Linked DNA regions of Struthio camelus. The protein of the gene in region 1 purifies or fractionates together with the protein of each later gene. This does not show direct contact. Links are inferred from orthologs where the notes say so. Each region holds a gene or a part of one and is shown in the gene's direction. Other genes may lie near its edges. The genes, in order: ARRDC1, ZMYM2 and HECW2.

Region 1 (9,993 bases):
TGGTAGTGGGAGCAGTGAGAGAGGCTGCTGAAACATGTTTCTCCATGCTGGGGATCAGTTTTTGGCCTGGACACATAGAGTGAGTGGTGAGGAACAGGAAAATGAAGCGCTTCTCTTGGCAGAGCGAGGGGAGACACGTGCACTGAGAAAGGGAGGAGGATTTTCCATCTGTCTGTGAAGCTCAGCCAGGCCTGGAAGAAGGAGCACAGGGGCTTTGGGGTGCCCTGACCCCTGAGCTCTCTATCTGGGGTGCTGATGTGCTCCCTGGTGCCTGATCACTTCTCTTTCAGATACCACCTGCTGGGTTGCATGGAGGATTGGGGCAGGGTTTTTTGGTAATTTTGTCTCTGACATCTGTGGCAGGGTCCATCCCCCAGCTAGAAGTGGGACATCTGGCATGGGCTGCCTAAGCAAACTAATCCTAGCAGGGGCTGCTGAGAGGTGCAGAGATGGCCTGCTCCTGCAGGCTGCTGTGGCAGGCTGAGATATCACCACCGCTCCCTTCTGTCCCTGGCTATTTGCTGCTGCCTCAGTGCTGGAGGTCCTCATCTCTACTAGAGCCAGTGGGCAGCAACATGGGAGTGATCCTTGGCCATTTCTGGGTAAAATTCAGTGGATTTCAGTGAAAGTGCTGCAGCAGGTAAGATGCTGGACTTTGCTTGGAAGTGGCTGATGAGCAGTCCCATCTTTGACAGCTAGGCCATTGTGGGCAACCACTTCCAGCAGGACAGATGGTACCAAGTGTCAGGAGCAAGGGAACGGTTCAGAGCAGCCCAGGCTGAGGCTGTTGTGGGTTGCTTTCCCGGCTGGCTAAGCTGTACTCTCCTCAAAGAGGAAGCTGCTGCTGGGGAAAAGGAAAGAGAAGGATTAGGGCAGTGAGGGAAAATGAGACATGAGGGCTCTGCTCAACATGAACATGCAGGTATGGAGCTACCCTGCTCATGCTGCACTGCATTTCCCCACAGAAGCCCTGTAGGCTCCCCCAAGCCTTCACCTCAGCCTGCTCATGCCTGTTAAACAGCATCTGCTGCCTTTCCCTAGGATCGTGGGGACCCTGAGCTCAGAGTAAAAGTAGCTTTACAGTGAGGGAGCAGTGCAAAATGCTGCAGTGGTGCTGGGGGAGCTGGAGTCCAGCCCTTTTTTCCTTCTTTTTAATTTGGCCCTTTTTCGGGCAAGGCCTCTCTGGAATCACCGAGAGAGCGAGTAAATCATCCTGCTCCCAGAGCCCGTGGGCGAACACAAATAAACTGCCGTCCCTCTGCCGGCGCTGAGATGCTGAACTTCATGGGAAAGGGAGGACAGATTTCCCACCAGCAGTTCTTCCTCTCCAGTCTCACCCTGAGCAAGAGTCTTGCAGTGAAGGCAGAGGTCAGGAATCCAGCCAGCTAGATTAGAGTGATGATAATAGTAATTAGTGCCTTGCCTCTCTCTAAGGATTTTCCAGTGAGGATGGCCAGGTGCAGTATGGGCATTATCCAATTAAAGCAGCAGCACCCCCGTAAGTGGGACGGGTGCCAACGGTGGAATGGGATTGCAGCAGTTCAGCTGGGGGCTTGCTTTCCGTGGGCTGATTCTGCTCGGGGATAAAATTACAAGGGAGGAACTGGCTTGGGAGGGGTGTCCCTGAAGTCGCCCTCTTCCCACAGGGGCGAGGGTTCATCTGAGCGGGAAGAAGCAGGTCAGGAGCAGCTGGTGTGTTACCTGTGGGTGTTCATCTCTTCCCTAGCTAACAGAAAGCGGTGAGTTTACAGTGGGAATGCTTTGCTGTCACCGCACCCGATGCGTGTGTGCTACGGGGCCCGCACTTAGCTCTGTGTGTGCGTTTGGGGTCGTAACGGCTAGTGCATCATCTCCTGTATGTGCACGTGCCCACGCGTAGGAGGCTGTTCCTGCACACATTTCCATAAACACACAAATGCCAGTATGTGGGCTTGGATAGATACAAGGCAGCATAATAACACGAAGGCTGGATAAAATGCTTCATGGGGAGAGACTTGAAGAGCTCAAATTGTTTAGTTTATCAAGAAAATTGAGAGGTGTCTTCATTTCGGTGTGTAAGTACTGTCACGAGGAGAAATTGCTTGGTGCTAAAGGGCTCTTTAATGTCAGAAAGGCAATAACAAAAACCAGTGGCTGAAACTGAAATTTGACAAAGTTGGACTAAAAAGCAGGCGTGCATGTTAGTGGTGAAAAGGATGTGCCATTGAAACAAACTGCCGAGGGACACTGTAGATATTTATATGTATATATATACATATATCTATATTTATAAAAATTTTCCCCCTTGGTAAAGGGCAGCCTTGTCTCTTATCTCCCCGGTAGAGATACCTCGGCCAAATTATACTTCAGTCAACCACACAGGATAAGGTTAAATAGATGGTGTTTATTACGCTATCATGCAAGCACCTTAGATGGTTTTTTTAAAACCCTTGAATGAGACCTGGGACACTGTCTTGGGATACAGAGTCCTGAAGCATCCACATGGTGGCAGAGGGACAGCACCTGAAGCTGTGGCCTGGGACAGTGTCTGTGCATAGTCTGAGAGCCGGTGCCCCCCTACTCCAGCATGCAGGTGACTGTTTCTGATCACTTAATGCTCTCTTTTGTCTTCAACCACAGAAGTGGCTCTGCAGTGCTGCTGTTGGGCACCTGAGTCTGCCCACGAGCCCTGATGCTCTCCCTGGGCACATGAGGAAGATGCAAACGCAGCTCAGCAAACGCAGAGCTCAGGGACATGGAGACCCCAGAGCTTTGAACACCACTGGTGTAAGGCGTAGTTTGAATGCCACCAAGTATCCTTGGACAAGCTGTCTGCAAGCTGCCTTGGGGGCCCATAGAGTGGATGGGGGACCTTGGCTGTGACCTCCTGCCGGAGGAGAGTGAGGGGTGTGGAGGACAGCTCAGCAGAGCAAGTGCCACGTGAACCCTGGTCCTGATCAAAGGTGCCAGCCCTGTACAAATGAGTCATATCTATTGCTGCTATTATCAGACGGTATGGTCAACTGGTGGGGGAAATCCACTGAGAAGTGGTGAGGTACTGAGCCAAGCAAGTCAAGTGATACACAAAAGGTTATAAACCTAAGTATGGTCTCGGTATTACCTAGTTTATATCCATCCATCCATACATATGTATGGATAGAAAATGTAGCTATGTGTTACTAGTGCTACATAGTATAAATATATCAGCAGTGAGCCCCTCCCGGGCTCTCTTTGGATGTGTGTATTTTAATTTGAGGGAAGCTTAAGATATTTAAGGGCCAAAGTCATTTTAACTTTCTGGGTTTTGCCTCTGCTATTACCTCTCCTCCTCAGTCCCAGGGCCTCCAGGGCCTGGTGTAGTGGGAGCTTCGCTCCATCACCACATTGTAACAGAGGGACTAGGAAGCATGAGAGGCCAAGAGTGTACCTGGGGTGCAGGGCAGTATCCTGTGAAGACTGCTGTCTCCCCAACACCCACATACCCCTGAAGCTAGGGAGCAAGTGGAAACGATCCTGCCAATTGCCCCGGAGATAACATGCTGCTGCCTCACCCAGAAGTGCTCACGTAATCGAGCTGCCTAGCAGTCGCTGCTTCGTTGGCACAGGCATTTCCCCGAGCCGCTCCCCGAGGACTCCTGGGTTCCTCGCAGGGTTCAGCCCCTGCCAGGTGGAGATCGTCGCCGCCAGGGGAAACTGAGGCACAGTCAGGTGGGTCTGTGCCTTGTCCGTGTCTCAGGGCGCAGCTGGAGGACAACATCTGGAAGCCCAAAAGAGGAACAAATTCAAGTCACAGGAAAATGCCTGACAACCAGGGAGCCTTCTGCCTCGTGTGCTGCTCACACACACAAAATAGCACAAGACTTTGCAGTTGCAGCTTGATCCCTTGGTGTGTTTTGCCCAAGTCGGGGAATACCCACAGCTGTTCCCCAGCGCCTGCTGTAGAAGCTGGTCTTGTGCTGTGAGGGCAGCACGGCTCAGGTGCCAGTGGGGTTTTTTAAACGGTGTTTCTATAACAAGTGCTTTCTTTGGAGGAAAAAAAAAAATCCTGTTCCTTAAAGTTAGTGAAGTTTGACATCCCAAAGGAAAATTTTGTTCTCAAACTGGGGTCAAGTTTTATTTTTTCTTTTTAAATTTCCCTTTCCTTAATGAGGAAAAACAGGAAGGGAGAAGAGACTGAGGAAGTGAAAGCTCCCACCATCAGAACAAAACATCCAAAACAATTTTTTTAATGAAATGCCGATTCAAAATAGCAGAAAAGTGACTCTTTGACGGCTTACCTTATCCTTCGCTTTTTTCCCCCACCCACTCTGAATCTCGGTGCCCATGATTCTGTGTGCCGTTAGATAACAGGGGTGATTCCAGGGCGCGTACAGATGAGCAGGGAGGTAGGAACGTAAATCACCGTTTGACTATGATGAGTAAAACCTTCCTCAACAGCCCACTGCCAAGATATGTACAGGTAGGTGCACTGGCATTGCAGGGATCAAACAGATTGAATTATGCCCACCTATTTATATCCTATGAAGTGCAGAGCACAGCGTAGCAGTGGTGTAAGGAGCGGATCAGCGCTGTGGCGTTGCTGCTGGCTATGTCACGAAAACAGCTCTTCTATTTCCGTAGAAAGGCATCCACTGCTTGTCTTGCAGCACTGAGGCTGTGCCACTGAGAGCACATACCAGCGGCCAGCAGCAGGATGCCTTTGTTCAGCTCCTGGCTTAGGAATCCCTTTTATTCATGCTATGACCTTGGGTGAGCAACTTCACCACGTTTAAGCCTACTTTTCCGCCAGTAAGGAGCAGAAACCTTTCTGCTTGAGGAGAGCTGCAGTGCGGTGTGAGGGGCTCAGCTTTGGCAAAGGATTTCATGACCCCCGAGTTGTCACATGTGGGCGCTCGGTGGCACTGCTCCCGTGCCCCGTGGTGCAAGTGCCGGTTAGTCCGCGCTGCTCCAGCGATGGGGCAGAGAGGACCCGTGGGTGCAGCAGCTCCCATCGGACGGCCGGTCAGTGGGAAGAACTGTGGGTCCGGAGCCACTTTCTGGGGGGGAAGCAGAGATGGGGCAACCTGCCGTGGTCACAGGGGGCTCTTGCTCCCCTCTTGCTTTTTGCTGGCAACGCCAGGCCGGAGAAGCTGAAGGGGGGCTGGGCCGGAGAGACGGAGGAAAGGGGCTGTAGGCCCATATCACAAACAGATTAGACGAATGTGGCTTGCGCAGCCTGCCAAAACAAAAGCCAGGGTCAGGACAAGGAGAGTGGTGTGTAGGTGGATCCGAGGATGTCTCGCCTGCTGGGCAAGATGAGCTGCTTGAAATGCAAGTGTTGGTACAAAAACGTAGGGGTGTTGGTTAGCTGTGACTACACTTGGACCGGAAATTAGAGGTCGGTTTCTGAACGCTGGAGCCCTGGCGGAGCCCGCTCGCGGGAGCCGCTCTGGGCCGGGAACGCGCAAGCTACTCTTCACACGGAGCTTGGGTCTCTCACGAGGGGTTTCGGCTTGCGACGCCGGCGATCCCTGCGGCCCCTGCTCCCGGGGGGCTGGCGTCCCCGCGCGGCCGCCTCAGCAGCCCTCATTGTGCCCGTGTACGCGGGCTGCTTGTCGCCAGCCGGGAGGTGCCTTTCCCCGGTGCCACGGCCCGTGCTCGCTTGTAAAAATAAAAGAAGGGCGAAGCGGCGTTGGGCAGGCTTTCTTATCGCCGCATCACGTGGCAGTGCAAAAGGAGGGGGCGCAGAAAGGCTGGAGGGAAGCCTGTTGCTCGCCCCCCCCCCCCCGCGGGGCTGCCCCAGCCCTGCAGCGGGGGAAGGAGCCGGGGGGGCCGCTGGGCTCCGCAGAGCGGGGGGGCTGGGGGGGGCGGGGCCGCGGGGCGGGGCGGGGCCGGCGGGGGGCGGGGCCGGAGCGGCGGGGGCGGGGGCGGCAGCAGGTAGCGCTGCGTGCGCGGGGGGCCCGGGCAGGCGGACGGCGCGGTGCAGCGCGGCGCGGCCATGGGGAAGGTGCAGCTCTTCGAGATCCGTCTGAGCGAGAGCCGGGTCGTCTACAGCCCCGGCGAGCCGCTGGCCGGCACCGTCACCGTGCGCCTCTCCGGCTCGCTGCAGTACCGAGGTGAGCTCGCCGCGTCCCTCCCCGGGGTGAGGGGGGGTTGGGGGGGGCTGCCGGCCCCTTTCCCCCTCGCCCCCCCGGGGGCTGGCGCTGGCTGCCTGCGCGCCCCTCCGCGGGCGGCCGCGGAAGCGGGTCCCCCCCCCCCTTCGCCCCCCGACGTGTGCCCTGCGGCCGGCAGCCGAGGTCTGGCCCGAGCCCGGCTCGCCCGAGGGGGGCGGAGGCGCCGGCAGGCCTGAGCCCCGGGCGGCGGGGCGGCCGGAGCGGGGCCCGCTGCCCTGCCGGGGGCGGGCCTGGGGCTCGCCGCCCTGCGCCGGGTGGGCTGCGGGCCCGGCCCCGCTTCCCCTTCTGCCCCTCGCGAGGTCGCGGGAGAGGAGAGGCAGCGGAGAGACGTGCAGGTGCTGTGAGCAACCTGCCGGATTATTTCTTCCTCTGCTTCCTGTTCCCCCCCCGCACCCCTTCCCCGTGAAGCCAGACAGCACAGACTTGTTTCGCAGAAGCGTCCAAACCCGACTTGCGTGCCGGTCTCGAGCGGGATGGTCAAGGGAGGCGACGAGCTGCGTAGCTGCCGGGCACGGACCGGAGCGCGGCGGCGCGGCGTGGCCCCCCTCGCCGCCTCGAGCCTCTCCGCGAGTTGTCCCTGGGCCGTGGCAGCTCCTTGACAAAGGGCCCTTGTGCGCCCGGGTCTGCCGCAGTGCCGAAACGTGTATTTTTATAAAGATCCTGGACGGCGGCTGACTAAAGCTGCGGGGAGGCTCGGGGCCCGTCGCTCCTCAGGCTGCTGCCAGGGATTTTTGGGAAGGGAGCGCCGAGGAGGCTCGGAGGAAGTATGCGACGTGGTGGCCAAGCTGGCCGCTGCCCCTGGTGCAGAAAGAGCCCCCACGCAGAGGGGACACCTGTCCGTCAGCAAGCGCAGCTCGCTAGCATCTATCGCTAGCAGCAGTTGCGTAACGTCTTAAAGGACCTTGAATGTTTTGAGTTGTGAAACTACTGGTTAAGTGGGAGATCTCTAGTCTGAGCACGCAGCCCCCATCAGTGTTGAGAGGGTTTGTAGCACAAGTGGCTCCGAGCAGGCATAAAACCTTCGTACTGCTGCTCTTTCAGCTGCGTCCGTGGCCCAAGCGGTATCTGGAGTATGTGGGCTGCTGTGGTTCGGTGGGAGATGCAGGCCCTGTTGGTGGCTGTTGCAGTCTGTCAGGAGATGGCAGCGTGAATGAACGAGGATGGCCTCAGGGGAGGGCGGCTGCTTGTTTAAGATCCATACTGGGAAGAGGAGGATGATCGGGTGGGCCACCGGGCATTGCAGGCTCTAAATTCCCTCTGCTCCGCCATGAGCTCTCAGATGAGCCAGCTAGTTAGGTTGTCACTCCTGTGCGTCCTAGCTTCCCCCACCCTAGAGAAGGCTTTCACGCTTACAGGTTCGTTTTGTGCTCAGCGCTGTGGAAATGTGGACTTATTTCTTGGTTTCACTGAGGTTATCTCCTTGCTTCTCCTATACGAACACTTTGTCCTCTGTAACCAATTATTGGGGGAAAAACGGCCATAGAACTTAAAATGCAAAGTCTCTTGAACACAGACATTGGCCTGGATGATGGTGCCTGTGGCAGCTGGGGCTGGGATGTTCTTGCTTTTGTGAACACCTCTCCCAGTTTTCTGCAGTAGCTTTTGGAAGCTTCCTCAGGAACAAAAATATCTAGAACAAGTGCAGACTTGTAGGCTGTTTAACTCCTGTTGCGGCAAAGCAGTTGCATATCCAGAGCATTTATCTCCTTGGAGGATACTTAACAGCAGTATTTTTTCCAGCAAAAAACCTCTTAGACAAAGTGCTTGCTGACTGCCATCCTCCTTTGTCTTAGCCTGTCCCCTCCACCTCTATTCCTGAAGGGGTCTCTTGGGCGAGAGGGAAGTGTTTGGCCTTGCAAGGCTCAGTTGTGCTAGTCCCTCACGTTGCCAGCTGGTTGGGGCTAGCTCTGGTGACACCTTGCTGGTGCCTCTGGGGAGCCCGTGGGCTCTCAGGTTCTCTTACGTGCCGGGTTTTCCTCTTTTGCCTCCCGGTGTGCTGCAGGGGAAGGAGGAGAGTGTCTTTGTCTGGACCTTCGTTCTGAAGATGTTCCTTATTGCTTTGACTCTGGGAAACTTTAAGGTCTGGCATAAGAATTGGTTCTCGAGCCAGGAGAGGTTTTGCTATTGGATCTTTGTGTATAATACTAATGCAGTAATTTCGGTAACAAGCTGGGGCAGTTGAGCAGGGCTTTAGGAAAGCTGGCTGAGGTCCTGGGGCTGGCAGCAGCATCTAGGCAAATCTGAGGTGGGCTGTGTGCGGCTGTTCCTTCTCCTTCTGTGCAGAGGTGATGTGAGCTTGCTACTTTGGGCTGAGGTCCCTGCAAATTGGCTTTGCCAGCAGGGATAGAAGGGGACTTAGGAGAAAGTTATGGATGGTGCTAGCTTGCCACAACGGGTGCCTGACTCTGCCCAAATAAGCAGTGTTCTTCAAGGTGTGTTTTTTACGGACATTGTTACCACAAGGTGACTCTTTGCTATGTGTCCTTCATGCTGCGTCATGTCTTACGGCCGCTGGTGTCTCGCCAACCCTCAGCAGTAGGGCTGGGGATCTCTCTCAGGTGGGCACCCTTTCCTTCTGTCCGGCTAAAGGAAATGTCCCTCCTTCACAAAAAAGAGGAGGAAGCTCATATATCTGCTGAAACATCCTTCTTTGTGTGACAGCAGGCAACTACCTGCTGCAAAGAGGTCTTAAGACTGGGCTCCTTTGAGGACCTAGCAGTAGTCAGCCCTATTCAACTTCACAGGTCCAGCAGCGAGGGATCAGGCATCCTTTATCATGCTGTAGCTTTCTTCTGGGGCGAGGGGAGAGCTGGGTTGGAGGCCTCGAAGCTGCGTCGGCTTGAGTACTACCCCTTCTGTGACCAGCTATGACTTCTCAGACTAATAAATATCTTAAAGGAAGAGACCGGAAATACTTACCCTATGACAGGTCTGGCGCACAGCACCAAAGTAGTTCCCAAACTGGACCAGTCTGGTGTGGTTGCTTGTCTCACTATTGTGATTCTTGAGATCCAAAATCTAGCACAAATGCAAATGAGGCTGTAGATTACTTCACAGGGTGACTTGCTTTATGGCTCTCAGAAACTGCACCTATCACGAGGTGAACAATAGAGGCAAACAAGGTTCATTCTGTATTGCTAAACGTGCTAGAAATCTCAGGTCATAGAAAAACATAACTCGAGACATGCCTTTTGGGATCATAAATGCTCTCATCTACCTTAGCTTCCTTGCCGGCCCTGCCAACTAGCAATAATGGCTGTTTGGTAACATATAGTCCTTGGCTGACCATGCAGCGGCGTCATAAATGATGACTCACCTTTCGTAAACCATACAGACCTTCCTGAGCCATGTGAGAGGAGGTGCGTTCCTCCCCGCGCCTGTGCCAGGATGAAGGTCCTTCTCCGCAAACTTTGAGGCCTCGGGGGAGAACGCTAATGGAAATGCAGAGCTCCTAATTGTTGTGCCTGACTTACTGGGTAAATCATCAAACACGTGTGTACAAAGAATAATTAATCTAACAGGAAGCTGGCGCTGGGCCAGCTGGATATGGCGTTAATCTGGGGGGAGGGAGGAGAAGTTAGTTCAGAACGTGGAAGCCAGCCTCGGTCGCTGGCAGGAGCGCGCTACAAAGGCGTGCTGGAACAAAGGCTCGCGCCGCTCGCCTAAGCCGGAGTGCTTTCCTCTGGACTCGAAAGCTTGCGGGAGCAATGCAGATCACTTCAGTCCTGCTGCCTCCCATTCAGCTAGGCTTCCTGTGGGCAGACGTGTAGTGTTAAAATAACAGTCTTCTCTCCCAGGTCGCTCAGAGTAAAGAAACTGCAAGCACTTTCCAAAGCAGATTTCAGCACTGTGTCGTTCTCCA
Region 2 (10,140 bases), on another chromosome or scaffold:
TGGCAAAAAGCTATTTAGGTCTTTTTTTTTTTTTCTTGCTTAGTTTAGTAGATTGGAGAACAAATGTTACTAATGTTACTGGCGGGGCCCCAGATACAGCTGGCAGCTTTTCTCAGCAAAATGTCACTTAACCAACATTAAAAGATGCTATTTTAGACTTACATTTGTACTTGAGGATAGTATAGAATAGCTAGTTGTAGAAGATGATCTTGAATTATTAGTTGATTCAGTCTAAATGGAATGGAAAGTAAACAAAAGCAGGTCTGTACGTAAACTGGTCTGTGTGATTTCAGTAAGGCAAATTTTGGTAAACTAAGGGATCTAGTTAATCAAGTCAACTGGACTGAGGAGGTCAGGAGTTTGGAATGAATACGCTTTGCTGTTCTTTCAAGGGGCAGGCACAAAACTGCACGCTAAGCTAGTAGGAAAAACCAGAAAGAGGCATTATCTGATATACCTATATGAATAACTACCTCAAAAAGGTAAATGAGAATAAGAGAGCCTTCAGGGAAAGAAGGACTGACCAGCAAGAAAAGTTCTGCTACATATCAAGAAGCATAGGGATAAGATGATATTTGCCAGAGTAAGATGAGAGAAGTGGCAGCAGGTAGTACGGAGGAGGAGAGTGTCAGACTGGAGGGAGTCTGTTGGTAGATTTCTTCAGGAGTTGTTCTTGGGATTGATCTTACATTTGGCAAAGAAGACAAAAAAACACTTATTGCATGGGCTGGTTTCGCAAGCTAGGTGGCATCATCAACACAGAGCTGCAGTGGGACATCATCTGGAAAAGCAATGAATGACCTTGAGGGTTGTGCTAACGTAGACTAAACAAACTGCCATAATACAAAATGCAAAGCCATACACCTGGTGGCCAACAAAAATTCTGTTTTTTAACTAGGAACTTCCCAATAAATGACTGGGGTAGAAAACAACACAGGTACTACCAGAATTGATGGTGGTTATCTAATGTAACTGTGCAAAAAAGCAAGTGCACACCTAAGATTGTGGTATTTCCTGGAGATACAGAAATATTAATGTACTATACAATGTTCTGCTTTGATTTAAAACTGAATATTATAGGCATTTGAACCCATATTCGAGAGATGAACTCAGACTGGGAGAAATGGAGATAAAGACTAGCAGAATGATCAGAACAAAACTTCTAAATCTCCAGGGCAAATTGGAAGAGAATGATCAGGGGAATGAAGATTTGTTGTGCAAGAAGAGACTAAAAGATCCTTGTTTAGTATAGCAAAAGGAAGGCTGAAAGGGAATATGACTACCGGCTATAAATATATCGGGGGTAAACACCAGGGAGGGAGAAGAGCTGTTTAAGCCAAAGAACAAATACTAGTACACAAACAAAAGGGTTCTTGAAAAAATGTAGTCTAGAAATGAGAAGAAGGTTTCTAACCACCAGAACAGTGAAGTTCTGGAACAGATTTGCAACAGGAGTAGGGAGTAAACATATCAAACTACCATTAAGATGGAGCTTGAAAAGTTTCTAGAAGGGATTATATGACATAGTTTCCTGTAATAGCAAGGAACTGGACGCTGACCTAGGAAGTCTCTTCCAATCTTAAGGTCCTCTATTCCGTTTTGCACTGTCATTTCTTCTCCATAAAGACAGGAAATTTATACCACTAAATCCCTCAAATGTTTAAAAAATAATAATAAATTCTATACAAGTAAAAATAATTGTGATTATTGTAAAACTCACTAAAAGTGATTTAAGAATAACACTTTATTGGATAAGTATTATAATCTTAGACTTTACTGTGTTAGAACGTCTTCTAAGGAGAGGTTGCCTGGTGTAGAGCACTACTTGTTCTTACTTTTTCAAAATCGAAATATGGAATGTGGCATAAAGGTCATTTCAAGGCATATTATACTATGCAATGAACAGTAATCTTATACTACCCATTGTACAGTGTATATAGTCTCATTATTTCAGCCTTGGAAAGATCACTTTTGGTTAAATAAGATAGCTGCAAATTAAACAGCTGCATGCAATTTATTTTTAGATACATATTGATTTGTTTATAAATATTATGAAAAGTAGATGTAGCTCAAAAACCATAATGAAAACCACAGGTAATGTTTTGCAGAAAGCAATTTTTTTCAATTCTGTATAGTATGGGGTCTGTTACGTACTATACAAACATATACGCGCGTATGGTCCCTTTTCCTTGAGAGCTCTAGTTTAAAGAACAGCTGAAATGCCTAATGAAATTCAACAATGAGAAAACCAAGAGAGGGAATATTATAGAATAAAACAAACTGATGAGGGTGTTACTGACCACAGGTGTTTAAAATCCTAAGGTTCTATTTTCATGTTTTTTCCTTCCACTACTATTTCTTGAAGTTGTGTTGGGAAACCAAGTAGCAGACCAGAAGTCCATTATGCCATGTCCATACAAATATGACAAAGAGACAGTCGTACATGTTCCACAGACAAATAAACTTTTTCCATATCTTCCTTCTCCCTAACGGAGAACAAAAATGTCAAGGAGGATCGAGGCTACATTGAGGCAGACAAATGAGGTAAAGGATAGCAAAAGAAAGAGAAACGTTGGCAGAAATTGAAGAGGAAAACATAGGGAAAAGAAAGAGGATAAATAAAACTGTATAAGGCAGAGAGAAAAAGGATTGTGGAGAAGGACAGGACAGAAGTCAGCAATGACATAATAGACAGAAATTTGGGGGTCACATATTTTACAAAGGATTAGACTCTCTTTTCACTTCCACATGTGGTAGAAACAGACATTTTGATAAACATATGTTTTATTCGCATGCCAAACATAAATTTTTCCAAGCCAGCCTTCAAATCAGTTGTAATAAATGGTGTTTTTTTAAAGAGTGTCATGAAGCACTACTTTCCAAATGTCACATATATAAAGTACTGAAAGACATCTTGTTCAAGAATTTCCTCCTCATTCTTCAGAAGTCACAGCTCTAGACACTGCAAAAGATTCTACTTTCAGTTATACTGACAGAAACCTAACCAGTGTTCAGGCTGAGAAAAAGAGTTCTTCAGTAAATGGAATATGCTTACTTCTAAGTCTGGAACAAATTCCACTACTCTTTGTCACAGATAAATATCGATGATAGCAGGAGGTATCTTTAAGTTATGAACATTCCAATCCTACAATTTACTATGCGTCATTCTAAGGCTGGTTTGGTGGTGTCCTCAAGATCCTTGCTAAAACATAAATTCTCTAAAATTTATCAAATATCAAATTACTCCTTCTCTTTTCAAATTCTGTTGACTGCTTTTGGACACAATTTTACTCCATAACACATAGAAAGGTGTCACTCTTCATGTACATCTTTGATCATTCTGTTGGTTCAGCTTTATTGAATTTATCTACTGCCAGGCAGTAAGTTAGAACTCGCATAGTGAAGTTGCTGACATCAGGCCTGTCTATGAAAGTAGTGGTGTGGAGATTATAAATACATCAGTTTCAGGCCTGTGGAGTTCATGAAGAGGATTTCACTACTTCATGTTTAGGCTAATGTTAGCTCTTTCAAACCATGAAACAGAATTATCGATCGATTTGGATCATTTAAAAAAAAAATCAAATTTTACAGATGAAGAAGAACTTACTATTTCCCTCACTTTCTACTGCTGACAGTTGAAAAGTTAATTGAAAAATATGTGGTGTAATCCATTATTTTTGTCTGTGCTTGAATATATGAATTCAAGAATAGGGTTATGCGTCTATAGACGGACTAGAGTTAACTAGGATTACAGCATTTCATATAAAACTACATTTCAGTATAGTTCCAACATTGCAAGGTAAGCATTAACACATCTGTTCAAACTATACGTTCTAAAATGTGAATGAAAAAGAGTCTACGTTGCTATTTAACAGTCCTGCGTAGCAGTTAGGTAATGTCTATTGCTAGGGCAGTGGTAAAAGCAAGGTGCTCCGTGGTTTTTGGTTTTTTTTTGAATGACTAAGTAAGAATTATAGGTTTCACCAACATGCTCTAATTCAGACAAGCAGTCATTTTCTACAATCCACTTCTGTTAATCAAAGCTCTCAAAACCAGCTGCTTAAGTCTTCTTGAATTTTCTGCTGAACTTCACCGGAACTTAAATGTTTACCTATAAGCACTATTCAAGAACAAAGATATTTTCCTGAGACATGTTAACTGGAAAGGTAGAAAAATATGTAGAATGTGGAGGATGACCTAAAATCGCCTTGACGTTTATCAACCTGGAAGACATTCAAGCTAATAAAGGAAATGGTCAAGAACCAGCTGACCTGATAGAATATATAATATTTAATGTTGTAATTTGCACAGTTGTCTGCTTACCATCAATTTAGTTAGCAGGACACTGTTATATTGTAGAACAAAACTTATAAATCTCTAGGGCAAATTGGAAGAGACCTTCAAAATGGGTTAGGATTACTTTCATTAACATTTTCTTCCTTTGTAAGCGTTGTGGTAGAGCTGTTCCACCACCACCTCGCTGCTTTCTCTCAGGCATGAGCAACGGCCGCACGAGCACTGCTCCATACGCTGCCACAGCCACGAGGTAACTCTGTCCCCCCAACACCGCTAAGCTTCCTCACGCAGCTAGGAGGGTGTGAAAAAAATCATAAAGTCCCATCAACAACATCCAGTAATAGCATGTGGCAGAAGTGTTTGTCTTGAGCTGTTGACTGAAGTCTGTGTCTCAGGGTGGGGCTGTGAGGAAGCAATGAGATGTATTGTTGTGACAATAGAAGATACAAAATTTCTGGTGTCTCCCACACATGAAAACTGCCAACCAAACTCATCAAGGGTGGTAGAGGAAGAAGCCAGCCCTTCAGTGAGTTCTGCTCCGACTCAGAGCAATGCCCCCCCGCAGATTACCCCGGCTGATCCCACGGGGGTGGCCAGCACTGTGTGGGAGGCTCCCAGCAGCGGCATGGAAATGGCGCCAGCGGCTTGGACCCTGCTCCTTACACATGCAAAAGGCGCTCTCCAGGGGACACCGCACCGCGTGGTTGACATGAATTGGTACCGGCTAGAGAAGACAGGGCGGTACTTGCTCTCTCTTTCTCCCTCTTCTGGGCAGAGGAGGGTGAATAAATGGGGCAGAGCGGCTTTAGCTAGCAAGAGGGCAGGCTGAGCTTCCTAGGTCCTCGAGGAAGCAGGCGTGAGTGCCATGGCCAGAGCGAGGGGACGCAGCCGCGCAAGGCGAGTGCGCATCCTCCATTTTGGTGGAGGGCGGGCGCAGAGCTTGGCTCCCGGCGCCTCGCTCCCCTCGCCGCTCGGAGCACTCCTCCCCAGCCCGCGGCACTGCCAGGGGCGCCCTGCTCCTCTTCCCGCAGGGAGCGGGGCAGAGGCGCCTCAAATGGACGCCCTGCTGCGCCTCACGTTGGTTTGAATTGGTCCCAAGCTCCCCGCAGCGGCTTCCGACAAAATGGAGGACGTCACCACTGCTACCACCACCACCACCAGCAGCTCCTCCAGGAGCCATGTCGGCGGCTGACATGGCTCCCTTCCCCCACAGTGGGTGGGGGCAGGAGGGCGTCCAGAGCGAGGGCGGCGAGGAGGCTCTCCTCAGAGGGGCAGGCTGTAGGTGTGTGGGGGAAGCTCTCTCCCTGGGATACGTGCGCTCTCTCGCTTTCCTGTGTGGGAGTGCTGCCATTATTCACACTCTGTCCCTCATGGAAATGGCCCCAGGTTCACAGCCCTGCTGGGGGAGGAGTGGGGCGGGACCTTCAGAGAGCTATGGATGGGTCCTCCCAGCCCTACTTCTCGGCGATGGGGCGGCGGGGGGAGGCAAGAGGGAGAGATCAGCCCATGCCCCACGGCTGGGGCTGTTGTGTCCATAGGGACTAAGCGCAAGGCTGGGATGGGTAGTACAATCTCCTCCCCGGCAGATGGCTGGAGGAGCATAGCTAGGCTAGCACGGCAGCAGTGCAAACTTCTGCAAGTTGCTGCCGTCAAGCAGCTGTACTGGGCGCCCGAGCGCAGCCTCGCAGCCCTTAGACCCGGCTACAGAGCTGGTGGGCAACGATTCGGGTTTCTCAAACCTGATGGATCAAAGTGGTAAGAACTCCAGGCATGGCTAGGAGGAAGATTGACAGTTTATAGGGTCAACCGGCTGCGGGCAGCTCCGATGGATGGGCAGCCCACCCAATGAGCTAGCCGAGCGCGAAAGCCCGCCCTCTGGAGGAGCCAATGGTGGGGCAGGGAGGCGGATCTTCCCCAAGCTCGGTTGGCCCTGTTCCTCCTCCCCCTTCGCTAGCAGCTGCGCTTAGCCTGGGACTGGACCGAGTTAGAGTTGAGGCACTGGAGGAGTAACGCGGAGTCCGTGCGTCCCCCGCGGGGGGGGGGTTCCGTGCCGGAGAGCGGCGGGGAGCCGGGTAAGGTGGGGGTGCGGGGTGCTTGCGCCCTCGGGGGCGGGCTGGCGGGCGGCTAGCTGGAGGCGCAGAGCTGCCCCCGGGGCGGGGATGGGAGAGCAGCCGCCGTGCCTCAGAGCTACCCGGGCTAAGTACCCCGCTGTGTCGTCGCTGCCGCGCCGCCACCTCTGGCGGTGGCGACGGCGGCGCAGGGGGCGTCGGGCAACACCGGGGCCAGCCCCGCGGATAATCATCCCAGCCCGGAGGTGGGCGGCGGGGGTAAATCGGGGGCGTTCGGGGGCAGTGCTGAGGGGGGGCTGGGGCATTTGGGGGGAGGGCCGGGTCTGTTTTAGCGCCTCCTATTTTAACTCCCTGCCTCCTTTCCCCGCCGGGCCCGCGGCTGTTGTTCTGCCCCGGTGCCTTTCTCCCCCTTCCACCCACCTCCCTCGCCGCCCCCCGCTCCCCCCCCCCCCTGCGCGGGTGCCTCCCTCCCCTCCCCTGCCCGGCGCTGCGCTCCGCGGATCCTGCTGCCGGCGCTGCTCCCCTCCCGTATTGTTTGGCTGGGTCTCTCTCTAATGGCGGACAGGAGGCGGCAGTGCTGCTGGCCGACTGCAGGGGGGCAAACCCGAGACCAGGGGCAACTGCTGTGGGCGCGTGCGGGAGGCCGAGGCGGCCGCCGGGCGCCGCGGCGGCGCCGCTGAGGGGTCCGGGCCCCCCGCGCTCCCCGGGGCGCCGGTTCAGGGCTGCTTTCGGCAAGTTAGCAGATAATATTTCCTCCCCGCCCTGGGAGCCACCGCTGCCTTCGCAGCTGCGCCCCGGGCGGCTCCGGGTAACCGCTCCTTGGAGCGGGTAAGCTTGAGGAGTACCCCGCAACCCACCCGGGAGGGTAATTTATTTCTTATTTTGTATTTATTATTCGTTTGTTTGTTTGTTTGTTTTGTTAAGGCTTAGGATTAAAGGGAAGTGGTGGGTGATGCAGGCGGTACCTGCCCTGGCCAGGCGAAGGGAATCCTGCTTGGGGGCGCTGCTGGCTCCTCGGTGCCCCGTGTAACCCCCATGTCTTTCCCTTAGGCTCCAGCCCAGTTTGGTGCAGCCTTGGCAGAGACCAACAAGGAGAGGGAGCTCTATTGTGAGTGCTATTTATGTGTCTGTTCCTGCCTCAACTAGACCTGCTCAGGGATGGCTTGACACCCCCACGCTCCTTAGTCTTCGGGGGCTGGGGTAAAAGGAGGGGCCTCCAAGGCTGGGTGGGGAAATTCCTGGGTCCAGCAGCTGCCGCCCTGGGGCGAAGCCCCAGTAATGGCTGTGAGGCGGCTCCTCCTCGGGGTGGGCGCTGCTGCTGCAGACATCGCTCCTGCAATACCAACTCCGGCAAGCAGACGACGGGCTGCTGCTGCTGCTCACGTTACCCGGCTCAGGAGGGAGGGGGAGGGCATATTTCGGGTGCCCTCTAGAGTTCTAGAGCGTACATTAAAATCCATAACGAGACGGCTTTAGCCATCTTTATTTTTTTTCCCTCTTTCTCCAATTTTGTATTCCATGTATGTTGAAGCTAAGAAGGGGAATGGGAGGTTTAAAATAGCCCAGCAATTTGTGGAGCGTACTCTGGCCTTTGTGCACTTGGACCAGTTCTTTATAATTGTGGGTTTGCTTGGGCGATTTTGTTGGGTGCCTTTGCCTTTCTGTGTGCCTTGGCAGTACTTCCGAGGCATCTGCTTTGCCCCTTCCTCAAAACGCTGGAGGTCACTAGGGAAACCCACAGCTTTTTAGTAGCGATCCTTTTCGGTTTTTCATCTCTATGGGTTTTTCAAAGCAGATTGTGTTCTCTGTTGGGCTTTAGGTCAGCTAATTTCCAGTCTCTCTGTATAGGACTGGAGAGTAATTTGATGCTGGGTTGTGCCCCTTTAATAATGTTCTTTGCTGCACATAGTGGAAAACAAGGATTCCAAAATTAAGAAGTAGCGCAGTGAAGGTGAAAGTAACACGGTGTGTATAGACGTTTTAGGAGCTCGTCAGTTTGGATGTGATTGTTGTCTGCAAGCTCTCGTCACTAGAGGCCGCTGAAAAAAGCTTAGATAGCCCTGAGAGATCTGGTTAATAAACGTGCAGCACACAGAACAAAACAAAAAAGGAACGCGTACTTTGCACTCTAGGTTCTTGACTTGGGTAGAGGAATTGAGGTTTTTGTAATTTTCTCAACCACTTGCATCTTGAAATTGTTCTCCCCCCACCAACGTTCCACATAATAGATTTTCCAAACTTACATAGCTTGCAACTTTTGCTGCTTTTTGGTGGCTTACATATATACAGAATAAGTTATTCTCTGCATAACACCACTGCTTAGGAGGAGAGGCATGAGATTTGTATTCTAAACTTCTAAAATTACATGCCTTTCATGAGGTTGATAGAATTTGTATAGCTTGTTGTCATTAATAAAATGATCTGTTCTAATCTTTGACTTACTACTATATTTTTTAAAAATTTGATTGTAACTTCTTATATTTTATTGTGTCTTGGATGTAAGGCTACCAACTAATTTTACTTCTGGCTCATTATACATTCTAGCCTAACAGCTGTTCTCTCTTTTTTTTTTTTTTTTTTTAAACAGTAAGAAGTATCATTAAAAAAAAAAGTTATTTCTCTAGTAGCAGTGACCAAGGCAAATAACACTTTGGAAAGAGGAAGGTTGCTGTGATGGAAAGGAGTGAGAAAAGATCTCACTCTGTTGTGTGCTGATGTGAAAAAATTATTGCAACTCTGTGTGGCTGCTTATGAGAAGTTGAGAATATCACCAAGGGCAGCTGTATGGCTAAGATTTAGTAAACCTAGTTGAGTAGTTGCCAACTGGTTTGTGAACTATACATGTTTTTTGTACATCATCCTCCACCAACTGTGGTGGTAGTAGTCATACAGCCTTCCTTTCCACATGTGGCTTGAGGGAAAAAGTGTATCCTATGACACATGATAGGCTGCACAGTTCCATGAGGGAATGTGTGCCTACTGCTGCATGGTCATCTCTAGGAACCAAACTTCTCAGTTCTGATGATTCGTGAAATAAAGGTGATGATGGAACATTATATTTGGAGCAAATCAGTTTTCTTTTTATAAAAGACGGTCTTAAAGTATCTGCTAACTTTGATTTACATTATTGATAGTAATCCTCTTTCACTCCAGCTACCTGATTGCGTTTTACTGTTGCTTTGGAATAATATGCTAAGAGAGATTTGCATCAACTAGAACGTATAAATGCTAGTGAAAAAATGAAAGTGGGTTGCTCTGTCTTCTGCAGAGCTTGTGCAAGTGTGTGGAGGGCTATGGGACCAAAAGTGATGTAACTCGCTTCAGATTTCTGTTGGCTTTCTTTCCTTATCTCTTATTTTTTGTCTAGTACTGTCATGAACAGTCTCACATTGTTACAGTCACTTTCATTTTGGTTTCAAGCATTAAATAGAGAATTATTGAAGTTCCATCTGCGTGTGTGGCAGTTGGCAACCAATTAATATACTCGGCAACAAGAGCAGAATGAAAAGTTTTGTGAAGATGTTATATAAGGTATTATTACTAATGGAAAATCCGCTGTTCATGGAGAACAGTTATTTTGTTCCAAAAGAACCGTACATCACAAATAGCAATGAACTGCGCCTACCTGTGAAAGAGGATTAAGATTTGAAATTCAGAAGACTTGAAAAGACTGGACTAGTAAGCTGCCCCTTTTGAACAGTTTGAGATAATGTTTGCTGCATGATGCCCTTAAAACCCTGTATGCAGTACAGATTTTGTTGCCTACTAAAATTCA
Region 3 (10,277 bases), on another chromosome or scaffold:
AGAATCTGGTAAGTTTAAAAAAAAAAAAAAAAAAAAAAACTTACTTGCAATACTACTACAGAATTTATCCATACCTTTAATTTGGAATGCTTTTTCAAACAAGTTATAGCCTAAAACTTTGTCATCATGCAATGCCCATTTCATTGTTTTACTTCATGCAGAGGCTGGAGGATACACAGGACAGAGTTCACAGTACAAATGTTTCTTGGGTCATGTGCCTCTGTGTGCGATTTATTATGGCATGCTCTGTATTCACAGTCAAGCTTACCTGGTTGTAGCTTGTTTAATGATGCTCGTGGGAATGTAACGGGGGGGGGGGGAGGGAGAGAGAAGAGTGAACGCAGCACCTTTCTCAAGCCTCTGTCTCAGAAACCAGAGTTGAGTTGTAACCAACCGCACATGGGAACAGATAGCAGGGCAGGAAAGGCTTGAAATCTAATTCTGGCAGAGCTTTCACAAACCACCGAGAGTAAAATGGGAATACTTAAATTGATGCCACCCTTACCTATCATCTAATCTCGTAGCAATAGGAGACTATATTAATGGAATTAATAACATTGTCAGCCAGCTACTATGTGTATATTGTCAAATTACTTTTTGAATCATGATAATTTTATTAGCTATTTATAGCCAAGGAAATATTTTTACATTAAAGCATATCAAAGAGTGCTCACAAAAGTATATTAGTTGTCTTAAAACCGGAATCATGGATTTTTAATTGTGCTTACCTGATACCAGCATTGACAACTGTAGAAAGTTGGTCTCCACCCACGTGCACTGAAGGCAACAGACTGACATTAACCAAACAAAATCATACTGCATAGAAAGTTTGCTTTTTTTAATACACTAAATGTTACTATAATAGAACGTGTGCCTAACAAGAGGCGTTGCAACTACTAAGGATTTGCTGGGGAACCACTAGCAGTGTAGATGAGTCTCAACCATTGATCCTGCAGATGGCAGCAAAGTGATAAACCAGTGCAACCTTTTTCAAATTACAATGTTTAAAGAATAACATGAGCTTGTCTATTTGTGTTGTACTTTTGATCTTTTGAATGAGTTTTATACAGTGTTCCCTCACCCTCAAAGTTTTTGGAAAGAAAGGGCTTGCTTTGGGGCTTTCAAACGAATATGGGCTTCTAATTCATACTGTTCCACACAAGTCCTAGTCCTAATCAGTATAATTCTATAATTGGGCTAGTTATGGTCATCTTCGTACAAAGATAACTCAAAAGTTTTTCTTCTTACTGCAAGGTCAGAGTTGAAGACCACTGAGTGACGCCCTCCCTCCCCCCAGCTGTCACTCCTGTAATTTGACGGTACCCATAAGTAAGTGGGCTATAATCAAGTTTTGTGAGAGTCTACCGAGCAAATGTATTTTTCTGTAGGCGGTGACGGTCTTCCTTTAGAACTGGGCATCCCCCAATAGAAACACTAAATCCTGGAGCTTCCAGACTCCTTTGTTACCGTGTAGTATAATTTACTGCAACAGGACAGACTATAGCGGAAGCACCTACCGTAGTATTTTAGCTGATATCAGACATGCATTTCTGAAGTTTCCAGCCTGCTGCCACTCACCCTGCTGTGGCTCACGTTACAGAGCAGGCTCTGAGCACACAAACTAGTTTCCTTTCAGACGAAACCAAACTGGAAGACAGCTTCCAGAAGTGCTATGGTCGCTAGTGAGCATTCAGTAGGCAAGCTGAGATTAGTGTATATCCGAAGTAAAAACCAATCCAAAACATGTAGCACAGGTGGACCAGCTGTTTCAGTCTACACGTGACTCAGTGTGCTGCATTACTTGCTGATGCAGACATAGCCAAAAGCTTAGTGCAGCGCTAAAACGAGGAGGTACTGTCATGCAGTAATAGGTTACAATTAATTACGCTGTATCTTTTCCCACCCTAAACCCCAAACAAATACGTTTAAAAAAAGAAGCAACAGGATATATTGCATGTGGAGGAGAATGTCTCTACCTACGCAAATATAAAAACAAGGTTAACCACAGACACATAATCAGACTTTGTATTTAAATATACAAAGTACCTGTAGCTACGCTGCCCTTCCACCAGCATTCATCATTCTAGACCAAGGGAGGAGTCAAGACCCATCCCAATATATCTACGTACACACACACACACACACACACACATATATATATATATATATACACACACATACATGTATGTGGTATGCTGGTAACAGCTCCTGCCAAGGGAAGCCAGAGAGAGGGGTGGCTGGTGCTGGCTCCCTGGCAACGTGCAGTTCAGACAAGTATCATTGCAGTGTCTTGTCCTCCTGCGTAGGCAACCATCGTAGTGGTTTGTCCTACTAGGCAACCTACTTAAGCATTCAATAAATATTAATTCATGAGATTCATTCATTTAAAAAAAAAAAAAGTGTTAACGCTTCTATTCTAGAAGAGTTTTTTCCAGCTGTGGCTGACTGCTCTGCAGTCTGAGTTAATACACGCAAAGCTAGATTACAGTTTGGACTGCTCGTTGCCTGAGGGCACTATGGAGTTAAAGATGCACAGATTAAGTTAAGCCAAATCAGATTTAAGGAGCAGTTGCTGCACACAGGCCGGTTTATCTCTGAAGGAGCTGGCTCCACTAGGACTAACCTACAGTCACATTACATCAGCCTGTTTTTTAAGCAGCAACAACAATTCAATGATGAGCAGGTAAATGAAAGATGTGTGTTAGCCTTAAGTCTGTTTAGTAGGCCCTTGTTCATTAGCATGTCCGTTTCCTTCAAGAAGGAGAGGGTCACGTCTCTAAAAGTTAGTCCAGACTACTGTCATACAGTTTAGGACCACATTTCTGGAGGACTGGAATGACTTAATTCAGTGCGTTTCAGGCTCCAGAGCTAAGCGAGCCTTCCCTCCCCACTACACAAACATTCTAAACAACATATATAGTTTCCCCAGCAATAAATGGTATCATGGCTCACAGAGGAGTCGGCAAATAGCACTGTAAAACAAACCAGAATGCAATGCAGCAACACCTGTACTGAAGCAAAGTTGTTTTGGAAGCTCCAGAAGGAAAAGCAAGCCATGAAGACGCTGAGCTGATTGGTAGTAGAACAAGAATGAAAACTGTTTGTGTTATAATCAATCATCACCTTCAACTTACTATGACCTAAGCCATCTGCTGCAATGACGCCTTCCCCAGAGTTATATTCCACAGTGGGATAAACTGAATAAATTCCACTAATTCTTATGAGTCTTATGTAGATAACAGGATGTGTGGTACAGTGTCACAAACCTAATGAATTCCTTATATGCTCCTAAAATTAGCCTGAGGCCTGTGTTTTCTCATGACCCAGACATCAGCTATCATTAGAAGCAGCCAGTCCTGCCAGGTCTTCCCTGTCCTGATCACGTCAGCATCCAGCCACAGGCGTATGACTCTGCCTTCAGTAATTCACCTGAATCCTCTGCAAACCAGTCCGAGATCTGTTTTGATAGCACCTGCCAAGGCTCATTCTAAAGCTGCTAAAAGAAAAGTGATGAACACAAAGACTTAGCAGTCAGCAGCGTATAGTCTATAGGAATGATACATACAGAAGAATAATTTCTTTGCTATAAATAGTGGCTTTGTTAATATCAGCTTCATGATACAAAGTATGCTAGTTGCAAAAGACAATCCTATTAGAAAGCTTATCTCACACACACAGAGATCCCTGCAATGTCGGACAGGTGAGAGGGAAGAATTAATTCAAATCAGAGCACACAATATAAATCAGCATTGCTAGGTCCCCTACACACAGTGTCCTGTCAGCCAGCTGGTCACTACACCTTTTATTTGCAAGGTCTTCTTAGTGATAGAGATCTATCACAGTTTGAGTAAGGCCCCTGTTTCATACCCCGTTAAAAAGTCTTCTCCATCAGCATGCAGCTCCCTGTGGCTGAGGACACTCCCAACACCTGGGTGCTAGCAGGGAGTCTCTGGCAGTAGGTGATGCTCTCCCTGTGCTGCTGCTGCTGCTGCTGCTGTGGCACCCCCAGGTAGCCCTGGGCCAGGAATCACCTGTCAGGTGAGCTCACTTCCTGCCCAGGTCACCCGGGCCTTCCTGGCGGTGAGCTGGAGGGGCTGGGTCCTTGCCTGGCCACCCAGGAAGGGTTGGGCAGGGAGCTCTGGTTGCTTTTTCTCCTGTGAAAAGATACAGTATTTCATGGAGTTGATCTACTGCTTGGAGAATCTTTGTGACTATCAAAGAAGAGATTAAAGTTTTAGCAGCTTAATATATACATCTCTCTCTGAAAGGCTGATCAGAAAGCTACGTGAGAACTGCCAGTTATGGGAAAGGCTGTGGAATCTACGCAAACAAGGTAAGCATAGCTTTTAAAAGAATACCTGTAAGAGTTTGGAGGAGGGGGAGGATAAACACTGAAACAGAGGAGGTGAATGCAGGGAAGAAAACAGGCCAGCTATTAGCTTTCATACCAGTATTTGGGTTATGACTTTCAGCAAAACATGAAATGTGCAATAGAACTTAGCTAAGTATAGAAACAGTCCCTTGAAGCTATCTTGTACCCATAGTGTTCTTTGCTGGTTAAATAAGTACCTTGGCAAAAGATGAGAAAACAAATTAAACTGAAAAAGGAACAGGGGTCCCTCTTTCCCACTGTGTAAGGAGTTGTGAAAGAAGTTTAACAAGCTGAATTCCTGACTTCCCAGTGCTTGCCCCAGCTTATTTGTTTTTCTCCCCTTTTAAAGAGGATGTGCTTGCTTTCTTTACCTCCCTTCTAGAGCCACTCTCTTCCGTGTCCTTTGCCTGGTGGTTTTTTATAAGTTCTGGCTGCAGGCTGTCAAACTTAGACTTGAACCAGCGGTGAGCTTCCTCCAGGTTAACTGTGATCTAGGGAAGGCAGTGGTAATTAGAGCTGCAGAGCAAGTGGTTAATGTGGGCCGAGTTCCAGCTTTTGGGCCCTGTGCTGGAAGGGGGAAAAAAAAAAGAGTACGCCAAAGTCTCCTCGAATTCTCTCCTGTACGTGGGGGCAGGAACTCAAGAGTTCTCTCCCTCTGCATTGCTGTGGAGAGGTGGTAACAGCTGGGCACATGCTACAAAATTGTTTCTTATGAAAATATTATTGGCAGTAGTCCACAGAGTTCTCTCTCGACACAGCCCAAAACACAGAGGCATTGGGGAGTAGAGGGAAAAATGGAGGCTGAATACCACAAACTCCTAAGAAAGATGTGGGAAGACTAATAACTTTGCTTGAAGACTGACATGCTGTAGAAATACGTATATGTTACTTTCTTGCTATTAAGGTCTTTTTCTAATAAATGATCAAGTACTTGAACGGATAAGTAGCAATGTAAGACCTCAAGCTGGGGCACCTCTGTTATTTATTTCTTTACTTTATGCTGGTTAACACCCTATTAAAAATATCTCAAAAAGTAGATTCTCATACCAGACTACTATAGTGATACATGTCAATTACGTTTATTTGGATATTACTGTACAATAGTGCAAGGATGAGGTGCAGCATGGACAAATGTGACCTCTCGGGGCAGGGGGGGTGGGAAATGTGGTTTGGATCGATGTCGAATAAAGAGCAATGTAATAGCGGTTTGGGGGGAAATTACTTGGCCACAACTAAGTGGGGTGTGTGTTTTTTTTTTTTTTTTTCTGTTAAGATAGAAATCTATTGATCCTGACAAAAACAGTAAGCTGTGGGGAGAAAAGCTTTCTTACAAACTCCAATAAGTTAAAATATCTCATGCAAGAGATTGAAATTTAACTGAAAAAAATGAAGAATGCTAAAAACCAGTTTGTTACTTTTGAGCTGAAAAGATCAAGGATGCACCTCACTCTTCACCAGAGAATGAGATTCAAAGGTTCACACAATGCATACCTTGAAATGGTATTTTGTTACTGCCAATGAATTATAATTCTCAGGCTAAATAGTCTCACCTGTTCTGATTCTATCCTGGCTTCCTTCAGTTTCTGTTCTGTTTCTTCTTTACACTTCTTCAGCTGTTTGACTGTTTCTTCCAATCTCTAGGCAGAAAAAGAATAGTCATTTCTCAATTTTTTTTTTCATGGCACAAAGACAAAAATTGGCAATATTAACAGAATGACTCTTCCATTTTTAACTGTAAAATGCTTAAGAGTTTTATTGACAAAGACTGTAGAAGTAATTTTTCATATGTCAGATATATAGTGTTAATCCATACTGAACGCAAGATAAGTTGCTCCTTGGGCTTTCTGGGGCAGATACAGTAAGATTTGTAGGAGTATCTTTTGACATGAGATTCATGAAGTCTTTGTACCATCCCTTCTAGAACCCTACAGATGTTGTATAAAATGGTTCCACTGGTTTCTCACCACGCTTTCATAGTGTGATCATCTTACCTGACACTTGTTTTCCAGCTGCTGCCCTTGCCTTCTCTCCACTTCCAGCTGGGTCTCTAGCTGCCTGTTCTGTGTTTGTACTTCATGTTGGTTTTTCAACAACTCTTGCATCTCAGTCTGCAAACTTGTTAACTCTTTCACAAATTTCTGGATATTCTGTGACTGGTAACAACACAAGAATGAAATTTCAACAACCTGTTTTCATCAGATCAGCCTTTTTAGGAAGCTAGTCAAGAGAACACACCTGTTCATAATTCTTCTTCTGATACTGCTCTTTTATTGCTTCCATTTCCCTCAATTCAGATTCAATCTCCTGGAAAATTTTGAAAGAAAAACAAAACTTCAGGAATTTCTCAGGCTCCTCTGCAGTAATAGGTGCCATGTAACAGGCAGCGTTCGCCCACTGTCTCCTTATTTCCTATCCTGCAAGACTGAAGTTAGGAGAAGCCAGGCCCCAGTGGGGAAAAGGGAACAAGCAGGCAGCAGAGTTGCAAAGGACCCTGGATTCCCATTTGGGATCGGGTACCAGTGCTACCATATGGTCCATCGGTATGAAGGATGGAAAGGGACTAACCGCTGCACAAAGTAACCTTTGGCACCGATCACTGCTTTATCATTTTGTGGATACAGTCTGCTTAAGTGGACAAAAGGCTAATAGGAAAATACAGGGAGGAGATGGGACTCTGGCATCCTATTTAATGTAGGAAGAAAACGCAGGAAAGGCCATGCAATAGCAGCTATAGCTGCTATTGGTCTTCTGTTAGGCATCTGAGTTCAGAGTTAGTTTTGTTTATTGTCCAGCCTAGCTCTGCTACAAAGGGACAACAGTAGTCCTACTTAGTAGGAGGAAAAGGAGTTCTCAGGTAGGATGTCTGTCTCCACTGAAAAACATGCACGCACCTTTATCCTCTCTGTGTTCTGAGCGTTGCTAGCTTTAGAGGCCAGGCAATGTCTGACTTGAGCTCTCTGGCTTTTCAGCTTTTCCTTGTAGCTAGCCAAAGACTTCTCCAGCTCTGTTACTCTCTGCCGTAGCTCCCTGTTAGCACGTGAAACTTCACCCAGTTTGGAGGATGCTTCTTCAAGGGCCTTTTTGAGCTAGGGGACAGAGAAAAAGTGAGTTCACATCAATTGTGAAGATCAGTTCATTTCCTACAACCATTAATAGGGAGAATGCCCCAACGATTCCCTGTGTCTGGAGTATGCTATAGCACCTGGTGATCCAATTTTTTAAAATATCTTTGTAATAAAGGAATGAAAGGTGAATGCTGGGTCTGAGTAATGTTAAGGTCAAGCTGAGCTTTATGCTCCAGCCCCCAAAAAGCAAAGACTATTTCTGCCCTTTCACAACAGTATTTCCTCCCTGGAGGTTTCCATATAATGTCAGATTTTCCTTTTGAATTCATTGGAATGACTGATATCAATGCCTAAGTCTTATGTATGATGGGGTATACAGTGGTACTTGCAATGTACAGTCACCAAAACCTGTCTACCACAAAACAAAATTCTATTTGGTGCAAACAGGTGATGGACAACTCCATGATGATGGGAAAAGAGACAACTATTTGTCATGAATTGCTTTTTTGCAGTTTGAAAACTTGACATTGTAAAGCGGAGCTCTTTCTCTGGAAACCACTCACTGAAATCTTTTAATTCTATCCTTTTTTCACCTCAGCAGATTCCCGCTGGGCAGCTTTTCTAGAAGCCTGTTGCTCAATGTGAAACTGCTTCTTCAAAGCCTCTAAGCGTTCGGCATACATCTTTTCCTCAGTCTGGGCTTCTTCCATTAGCTGTTTCCTTTTAAGGGAAGAAGCAAAATTGGTCATTCACATATACATTTAATATGCTTTATTTTTTGAACAGAAAATTCCATTATAAATATTTCTTTTGTCTTGGGTATACTCTTAGCAACACTAATGCTTAAGGATTTGATTTTGTAAATGTATATATACTTCATCTCTGCTCTGTTTGCAAGGAGGTTCCAAACAACTGTACAAGGAAAAAAAGATGGGTTTTTTTTTTTTTTGAACTTTAGGTCTACTTACTTTCCTTCAGAGAAGTAGGTGGCCAAGCCTCTTTAGACCAAGGATATTGAGGTGATTCACAGTGCACCAACACTTACTGTTAACTACTTTTAAATCTTATTTATTGGGGTTTAGTTTGGGGTGGAGGATTTAAACAGCTGTCCTCTGTGTGGGTCGCTTGTAGGTCACTTCAAAGTGCAAGTGATACCTGCTATGTCTGCTGAAAAAGTGCTATAATGACCCTAGGCAAGCAGTTCCTCAGAGGAGGAAGGCAGAGGAGGCTGAAGAAGCCATTATACGAATGGGCAAATCAGCTCATTCATGTAGCTCTGCGTAAGTCTATCTTTACCATGCTGCTGGTTCAGCATGTGGTCAGTGCTGATACTGATAGATGACAAAAGGCATAAAGCTCTGATGTTAGTGAAAAGTTATGTTTCTCCTCAGCTTTAATATCTTGGATCTGTTCTTACCTGCAGACTACCAGCTGTTGATGCTCAGCTTCTTTGCTTTTCAGGTCATACTGACTCTGAATCAGCTTGTTCTGCAAGGTATTGTTGGCCTGCAGAGCTTGTTCCAAACGAAGAGCAAGTTTCTTGTTGTCTGTTCTAGTAACTTCTAGTGCTTTACAAAGTGGTTCCACCTGGGCAGTAACAAGAGATCAGATTTAGGCTTACTCAAACGAAAAAGCATAAACAGGAACATTGTTCCCTTCCCAGTTGGTGTCAGCTTACTGGGAGTATGAGTCTGTTCACCCACTGCCTGATGACAAACATCCTTTCAAGCACAGGCATCTAGATGTGATTCCCTACAAAGCCAATCCACAGACTGGCTTAGTCAGGAGGATCAGAATGAAAAACATGACTGTCTTGGAAAAAATGCCCCTTGCCAATAGTGAGTGTGTTTAGGTTGTGAGACATTGATTTTTAAACTATGTATTTTAAAGGAGGGAGGAAGAAAGCAACTCTCTGGCCCTTTCCCCCACCCTCCTTTTCCCCCCCTCTCTCTTTCTCTCTCTTTTTTTTTTTTTTTTTTTAATTTTTAAAGCTACATACATTTCAGAAATCTCTGTCCCTATCCAGCTGCAGACAGTAAAACCTTTATCTGTGCCAAGGAGTCTTACTTTAGAAAGATTTGTACTTGTTCTTTATCTTGATCTTTAATTACTTCCTTCAAAACCTGGAAAATGGTTTTCCTGCTCCGCAGCCTAAAGCTGATAGAATATTTTGCCTCCATTCACGTGAATGTATCACACCACACTGTTTCCCCCCCCTTCCCCCCCAAAAAGTGGGGGGAGGGCAATTGACTCAACCCTGAAGACGCAGTCCTGCCTATTTCTATGGCAAATCATGGCCTCTACCTGGCTGCTGTGCTGGCTTCCCATGGCAACCGCTCTGGCTTGGCAATGTTCCAATTCTGTTTCTAACCTCTGTATTTTCTGTTGACTCTGGCTCCTGAAAATGGAAATAGGGCAAACAAACAATGTATCGTCTCTGTGCACCTCTCCTCTGACGTGGTGGCAATCTCAGTTAGGTTCTCTGCTTTCACCATGTTAAGTTTTGCCTGTCACTGGCATTAAAATTAAGTTTATTCTCACCTGCTTCCCGCAAGATGCATGAGACCTGACCAAGCAGAATAGTTACAAGCACAGTTTTTCGCAGAGCTAGCCATGAGCATTTGGTACGCTTGGTTCACTGGTACTAAATATGTTTCAATGTTGCAGGAAAGGATATAGGAATTTTTCAAACAACCTTGTCCTAAAGAGTTTACTGGACAGCGCTGTGGAAGAGATGCCACTTCTCAACTGTATCTGCCTGTCTTCATCACACTAATTATACCACAGAAAGAATTATCAGCTTTACTTACCTGTCTTTTCTGAGACTGCTGATTTCGGTG

Evidence for each region.
Region 2: the proteins of ARRDC1 (region 1) and ZMYM2 purify together in Homo sapiens (affinity purification with mass spectrometry; 3 studies listed by BioGRID and IntAct, counting the BioPlex papers as one, with this or other methods). This does not show direct contact. The link is inferred for Struthio camelus from reciprocal best matches to the Homo sapiens genes ARRDC1 and ZMYM2.
Region 3: the proteins of ARRDC1 (region 1) and HECW2 purify together in Homo sapiens (affinity purification with mass spectrometry; 3 studies listed by BioGRID and IntAct, counting the BioPlex papers as one, with this or other methods). This does not show direct contact. The link is inferred for Struthio camelus from reciprocal best matches to the Homo sapiens genes ARRDC1 and HECW2.

What each region holds. Positions count from the first base shown.
Region 1 is NC_090961.1:11,558,155-11,568,147, reverse strand, and holds the start of ARRDC1 (arrestin domain-containing protein 1), read left to right. Parts: upstream 1-5,875; 5' UTR 5,876-5,956; coding exon 5,957-6,074; intron 6,075-9,993. UniProt on the Homo sapiens protein: Functions as an adapter recruiting ubiquitin-protein ligases to their specific substrates. Through an ubiquitination-dependent mechanism plays for instance a role in the incorporation of SLC11A2 into extracellular vesicles.
Region 2 is NC_090942.1:204,117,868-204,128,007, reverse strand, and holds the start of ZMYM2 (zinc finger MYM-type protein 2), read left to right. Parts: upstream 1-6,212; 5' UTR 6,213-6,368; exon of another isoform or gene 6,369-6,610; intron 6,611-6,844; exon of another isoform or gene 6,845-7,230; intron 7,231-7,415; 5' UTR 7,416-7,473; intron 7,474-10,140. UniProt on the Homo sapiens protein: Involved in the negative regulation of transcription.
Region 3 is NC_090947.1:12,095,672-12,105,948, forward strand, and holds the start of HECW2 (E3 ubiquitin-protein ligase HECW2), read left to right. Parts: upstream 1-4,289; 5' UTR 4,290-4,333; intron 4,334-4,743; coding exon of another isoform or gene 4,744-4,863; intron 4,864-5,922; coding exon of another isoform or gene 5,923-6,009; intron 6,010-6,363; coding exon of another isoform or gene 6,364-6,525; intron 6,526-6,607; coding exon of another isoform or gene 6,608-6,676; intron 6,677-7,263; coding exon of another isoform or gene 7,264-7,458; intron 7,459-8,030; coding exon of another isoform or gene 8,031-8,157; intron 8,158-8,854; coding exon of another isoform or gene 8,855-9,024; intron 9,025-9,741; coding exon of another isoform or gene 9,742-9,835; intron 9,836-10,247; coding exon of another isoform or gene 10,248-10,277. Other genes in the region: CCDC150 (coiled-coil domain-containing protein 150), read right to left, coding at 4,035-4,154, 4,744-4,863, 5,923-6,009, 6,364-6,525, 6,608-6,676, 7,264-7,458, 8,031-8,157, 8,855-9,024 and 2 more. UniProt on the Homo sapiens protein: E3 ubiquitin-protein ligase that mediates ubiquitination of TP73. Acts to stabilize TP73 and enhance activation of transcription by TP73. Involved in the regulation of mitotic metaphase/anaphase transition.